Linked DNA regions of Mus musculus: region 2 is reported to be linked to region 1. The links are microRNA targets in miRTarBase. Many come from high-throughput screens and were not tested one by one. Region 1 holds a microRNA gene; the other region holds the end of a gene's coding sequence.

Region 1 (3,408 bases):
CAGCCAGGACTACACAGAGAAACCCTGTCTCGAAACAAACAAACAAACAGAAGAAGAACAAAGAAGACCCAATTAATTATACTGATCTTAAATATTAAACAAAAAATGTAAGCTGTCTCAAAAACTTCTATTTTTACGTGGGGGCGTGGGGTACCTAACTGCATGTATAGAAGTCAGAGCTCCCAGTGCTGTGTGGGAAGTTCTTTAACCACTGAACCATCTCTGGTGGCTTGAGTCTGTGCTTTAAAGGATTAATTATCAGGGTCATCATATTGTACCCATTTTTGTTTGTTTTTTAACCAGGGACTCCTGTAGTTCAGAATGGCCTAAGAGTCCACATATAATGATAGCCTGTTTCACCTGCCTCCACCCCTCAGGCGTTGGGACCACAGGAATGATAGCTAGTCATATCACTACCATTAGTCTCTTTTTTTTTTTTTTTTTTCCGAGACAGGGTTTCTCTGTGTAGCCCTGGCTGTCCTGGAACTCACTTTGTAGACCAGGCTGGCCTCGAACTCAGACATCCGCCTGCCTCTGCCTCCCAAGTGCTGGGATTAAAGGCGTGCGCCATCACACCCGGCTAGTCTCATTTTTGTTCTCTGTACTCGTTAAGGGCCAAGAATCCCTGGGGGCTGGCGAGATGGCTCAGCAGTTAAGAGAACCGACTGCTCTTCCAGAGGTCCTGAGTTCAAATCCCAGCAACCACATGGTAGGTCACAACCATCCGTAATGAGATCTGATGCCCTCTTCTAGTGTGTCTGAAGACAGCTACAGTCTATTTAGATATAATAATAAGTAAATCTTAAAAAAAAAAGACTCCCTAATCCCTTTGTTCTGATGCTAGCCCATTGTCATACCCCTTCAATGAGGTGCTATTGCATGTCTGCATCATCTCTCAAATCCTAACTATGCCTAGTACACTGTAGACAGGTTTACCCAGTCACTAATTTTAGTGGCTACCAGACTGCAGGGAATAGTCAAGAGCTATTTGTCCAGAAGAAACATATATTTATAAATGAAACAGTCCAGGTGATAGTACACAATTTAAGCTAAAATAAAACAACTCCTGATCAACACACTAGATTAAAAGAGGAACTATTATTTTGGTTTTAGGAGCTGGTGTATGTAGCCCAGGCTGGCCTAAAGCTGCTACTTCTACTTCACCAGTCACATTAGAATTACAAGCATGCACTACCACTCTAGAAAATGTTATGGTCAGACAGTGATGGCTCACTTGGGAGGAACTCAGGTAGGTTTTGTGAGTTCCAGTCCAACCTGGTCTACAAAGTGGGTTCCAAGACAGCCAGGGCTACACAGAGAAACCCTGTCTTGAAAAAGAAAGAAAAGGAGAGGAGAGGAGAGGAGAGGAGAGGAGAGGAGAGGAGAGGAGAGGAGAGGAGAGGAGAGGAGAGGAGAATAAAAACTTACATCTTCCACTAAAAACTGATAAAAATAGAGCCAGTAAAATTGATTATTGATTAAGGAACCTGCAAGCAAGCCTGGCAATCTGAGTCTGATTCCCAAAATTCTCATGGTAGAAAGAGAATCAACTGCCATAAGTTGTCCTCTGACTTCCACTGCATGCTACAGCACAGGTATGTGTACAGATACACACACACACACACACACACACACACACACACACAGAGTTTCTATTTAAAAAAAAAAACAACTAGTAAGCACAGATACGTGTGTAATTTTTTAAAATGTATGTGTGAATGTTTTACCTGCACATACGTATGTGGGCCATGGGTGCCTGGTGCCTGTGGAGGTGAGAAGAAAACACTAGATCCTCTAGAACTGAAGCCTGGTCCTCTGCAAGAGAAGTGCTTAACTACTATGCCATCTCTCTAGCCTCTCCTAATGTAATATGTAATTTTTAGTCTCATAAATTTAGCTTTCAAATTAGTAATACCCTTATTTTAAAGTCTTAAAAGGGGTAGAGAGATGGCTAAGCAGTTAAGAGCACTGGACTCTCTTTCAGAGGTCTGGAGTTCAGTCCCAGCAACCACATGGTGGCTCACAACCATCTGCAGTGGGATCCCATGCCCTCTTCTGGTGTGCACTCATGATTATTTGGACAGTCTTACTGGGAATTGAACCTATAGCCTCAGGCACATTGAGGAAGTACTCTGCCAACTGAGCTACAGACCTAGGCCCTAGATAGGCTCTCGGGTTGTTGCTGTTGTTGTTGCTCGAGTGTTTTTGTTTGTTTGCTTGCTTGGTTTGGTTTGGTTTTTCTGGACAAGGTTTCTCTGTGTAGCCCTGGCTGTCCTGGAATTCAATCTGTAGACCAGGCTGGCCTTTAACTCAGAAATTCCACTGCCTCCAACAGTCAGAGTGCTGGGTTAAAGGCATGCACTACTACCACCCGACCTGGACATGCTCTTTATAATGAGGCTGCCAGCAGTATTTGTGCAGAAATAGGTTTATGTCCAGATTTCCTTAAACAAGGATAGAATCATGCAAAAAGCAAGAATCAAAGTCAAACTGTGAATTTGGCTCCCAGGAAGATGGGCCAGCTCATAGCTATCAACTTATACAGAACACACAGCGATATGAATTATGGACAGTCCTTTATCCACACACTAAAAAGACTCCAGGCCACTATTGCTGTTTGTTTTGAGGTTGCTTAACCAAGCAAGTTTGTTTTGTTTTGAGCAGCGGAATCCCCTTGTTGCCCGAGCTACCCTCAACTCTATATTCAAGGATGACCTTGAACTCCTCCTCTTAAGTTTACAGGGTGCTGAGAACAGAACCTAAGGTCTCATACATGTTAGGCAGGCATTCCAACTGAGTTCACCTCTACAAACAATTGTTTGGTGTATTTTATGTTGTCTCTGTCTCTGTCTCCCTTCCTCCTTCCCTTCCTCCCTCCCTCCTTCCCTCACTGTTTCTCTCTCTTGTTTTTTGGATTGATTTATTTTATGCATTTGAGTGGTGTGTCTGCATGTACATCTGTGTCCCTCTCTCTTTCTACCTTTTCTCTTTCCCCCCACTTTTCTACAATAAAGCTCTAAAACCACAGACTGTCTCTGATCATCAAAGTCCACCATGCTTGAACGATGGGATACTTTCACCTAAAGAGCCCTTCTAACTTCCCGCTGGAAGGTCTTCTTGTGCTCTAGCCAGGGGACTCTCGCCAGCGTGGGAACCATCAAGCGCCCTTTCCCCCTGCCCTCTTCTCTCTTCAGCTCCGGGGCTCAGTGCCGCCCAGGGGCCTCCATTCTGTTCTCAGCTCTTCCGCAGCTGTATCCAGCGTGGGATGCTGGAGGCTGGAAACCTGGTGCCTAGGACTGCCCCTTGTCCACCCCCTCCCCCTGCCGAGCTGGGATTCCATGGCTTCCCACAGCCAGACACCCACCCGGGACCCCATGGAAAGCGTACGGCAGTCTCCCACGTCCACCC
Region 2 (3,408 bases), not on the chromosome of region 1:
ATATATGTACTGTACTATATGTGTGTAATATATATGTATATTATACTATGATATATTATACATATAATTATGGTACTTCTATAGTACCATATCTAAAACTAGATTAGTTTTAGTTTATAATGGCTTAGGAATTTGGTTTGGTTTGATTTTCAAGGATTTATTTCCAGGCCCATGAACATACTAGGCAAGTTGTACCTGAGCTACATCGATAGCCTGGCTCATCTGTTAGTAGTTTTAATATAAAAGACTTAAAGCTCCTTGTCATACTCTTTTTCAGGCAACCCAAACTGCTGCTGAGTTCAGATGCAACTTCAAGAATCATGGAAGTATACGTCTGAAATACTTGTTGAAGATTATTTTCTTCATTGTTCTTGATATTATGTTTATAGTATATATTATATAATGTATTTAATTTCTACTGCCTAGTCTTAGGTATATGAAACGGTAATTCAGCATTTGTTCTCTGTCTTAGTCAGGGTTTCTGTTCCTGCATAAACATCAGACCAAGAAACAAGCTGGGGAGGAAAGGGTTTATTCAGCTTACACTTCCATACTGCTGTTCATCACCAAAGGAAGTCAGGACTGGAACTCAAGCAGGTCAGGAAGTAGGAGCTGATGCAGAGGCCATGGAGGGACATTCCTTACTGGCTTGCTTCCCCTGGCTTGCTCAGCTTGCTTTCTTACAGAACCCAAGTCTACCAGCCTAGAGACAGCACCAACCACAAGGGGCCCTCCCACCCTTGATCAATAATTGAGAAAAATGCCTTACAGTTGGATCTCATGAAGGCATTTTCTCACCTGAAGCTCCTTTCTCTGTGATAACTCCAGGTGGTGTCAAGTTGACACACAAACACATTACTATTAAGCCTCAACCCTTACTTTCTTATTAATCCCCATGATCAAAATAACTTTAAAAGTCCCACAGTCTTTGAAAATTCTTAAAATTTCAATCCCTTTAAAATATCCAATCTCTTTTAAAATTCAAAGTCTTTTTACAATTAAAAAGTCTCTTAACTGTGGTCTCCACTAAAATACTTTCTTCCTTCAAGAGGGAAAAATATCAGGGCACAGTCACAAACAATTAAAAGCAAAATCAAACTACAACCTCAAACGTCTGGGACCCTCCAAGGGCTTGGGTCACTTCTCTAGCTCTGCCCTTTGTAGCACACAACTTGTCTTCTAGGCTCCAGATGCCTGTACTCCACTGCTGCTGCTGTTCTTGGTAGTCATTTATGGTACTGGCATCTCCAAAACACTGTTGTCTTTGCTGTAACTAGGCTTCACCAATAGCCTCTCATAGGCTCTCTTCATGGTGCCAAGCCTCAAATCCTTTGCATGACCCCTTCAGTCCTGGGCCATCAACTGCTACTGAGGCTGCACCTTTACCAGTGGCCTTCCATGGCCTCTCACATGCCAAGCCTCAGCTGCTCTTTATGTCTTCAAAACCAGTATGACTCTTAAACATAACCAAGTCCAGCTGCAGCTAAGGTAGAACCTTGTCTATCTCTGGAACACAGCCTCTTTGTGCTCTCAGAAAACACTTCCCTCCTATGACTAGGCAGGCCTTTTACTCAGATCTCCTTGCTTATGTCTCCCAATTACTAGGATTTAAGGCAAGCATCACATGGCCAGGCTCTCAAGCAAATCTGAAAAACTTTACATGTATGATTTTTAGAGAATTTATCATCTGCATATCCTCTGAATGTGTGTGTAATATAAAATAAAGTAATATAAAAACTCATACACCCAATCAGTGATTAATTTTTATTTAATGAATTTCAATATTGCTTCTGGTTAAGATTTAATTGTGTCTATCTTTCCTCCTAATTTTCCCCCAGAATAATAAATGATACCTTTCCCAATATATGCCAGGGGTAGTGTAACACACCTTTTATCCTAGCATTCTGGAGGTAGAGGCAGACGGATAAGATCGGACTACATAGCAAGTCCCAGGCCAGCCAAGACTATTGTAGGCCCTTTTTTCTAAACCTACGTTAATACGTGTACTAAAATGCTTTAAACTCCTTTCTAGCCTTCCACTCATCATAAAAGGTCAAAGGAGGATGTGGCCCTGTTCAGAAACAATTCTTTGGTGAATCCAATCTGCTTTGTCAGGATATCAGCAGTTCAGCTCACAGAATCAGCAGCAGTAGTTTGATCCACTTGAAACATCTATACAAATGGCGCATTTCTCTCTACAAAGTCACAACAGCTCTTACACTCTTGCTCTTTTGCCTCCTTGTGCTCGCTCTCTCCTCACTCCCTTCCTCCCTCTGTCCACATGGTCATGGCCGGTCTCCACTTATCTTCTCTCTGTCTCTACTACTCTTAACACCCCTCCCCTAAATAAACTATATTCTATACTTTAAAGAAGTCACAACAGTGATCAGCAAGGAAGGCAAGCCAAACCAATGCCACAGCATTGTCAAACAAGACCACCAAAGAGTGGCAAGGTGAACCAATACCAACTAGCATAGTTCACTGTCTGTTTGTTGGGTTACACTTATACCCTATCCCAACATCACATGTTCTGCCGAGTGTCTGCTCCACCAAGACATCACATGCCCTTTTTCCAAGCAGCTTCCAGAAAAACAACAGACTGCTTCAGCAAAACATCCCTCCCACGTGTCTGCTTTAGCAAAAACATCCTCTCATACGATGTTTCCAGAAAAACATCACATGACAAAATAAATGGTCTCCAAAGAAAGAAATTGCCACTTCTGACTACATATTTATTTTTACATTGAAAATTTATGTTAGTCATTCTTCTTTTAGTATTTTGTAGAAACATATAGCCTTTAGTCATAGTAACTATACACAGGAAAAACAGGATAGTCAGCTCTTTTGTGGACTACTGGTTTTGTAATGACTATCTTACCAGGTAGCATCTGTGGAACTGAAGATTCGCTTCAATGATTGAGTGCTTACAGCACAATCAGGAGGACCAGAGTTTGAGTCTTAGGATCCACCCAGTCAACAAGCCAGGCATCTGGTGCTCACCTGAAACCCAGGTCTGAGACCTGTAATAGAATCACTAGGACTCACAGCCTAGCCACAAAGACAGCAAGCTTCAGGTTCAGGAAGAGATCCTATGTCAGAGGAACGAGTGGCTAGGGATAGAGAGCCACTTCCTATTGCACACTCGACACACATGACAATAAAACTATTAGGCTTAGTAGACCTTACTAGGTTAAGTAAGACTCCTATCTTTGACTCATGAGCAAATCGTATCCAATATCCTAAGCATATGTGGGTTTATGCTGTAAGACCCCCGAAGCTGGGCCTCCGCTCAAGTCCCGGGATGAGCTGGCCGGCACCCCAATGACTCGAGAGAAAACCACACCTGATGTAAACTGCAAGAGGCTTTGTTGTCAGCTAGGATGAACTTCCACCACGCAGGGCAGGGGA

Evidence for each region. The annotated mature microRNA mmu-miR-5106 reads AGGUCUGUAGCUCAGUUGGCAGA and lies in region 1 at 2,132-2,154, opposite strand. An mRNA with a match to its seed (bases 2 to 7 or 8) in the 3' UTR can be bound and repressed. Matches are read on the target gene's strand: a 7mer-m8 pairs with bases 2 to 8, a 7mer-A1 pairs with bases 2 to 7 and ends in A, and an 8mer does both.
Region 2: the mRNA of Hmmr is a reported target of mmu-miR-5106. Seed matches in the 3' UTR shown: 7mer-A1 at 500-506.

Annotation. Positions count from the first base shown.
Region 1 is chr4:44,219,066-44,222,473 of GRCm38, forward strand. Mir5106 (microRNA 5106) reads right to left here and starts at 2,202; the gene lies at 2,130-2,202. The region is part of intron 1 of Rnf38 (ring finger protein 38); the gene reads right to left.
Region 2 is chr11:40,699,728-40,703,135 of GRCm38, reverse strand. Hmmr (hyaluronan mediated motility receptor (RHAMM)) reads left to right here. Exons shown (of 18, transcript NM_013552.2): 18 at 278-1,748. The coding sequence ends at 297. Among named protein-coding and RNA genes, the nearest start is that of Mat2b, 8.8 kb to the right of the region's middle.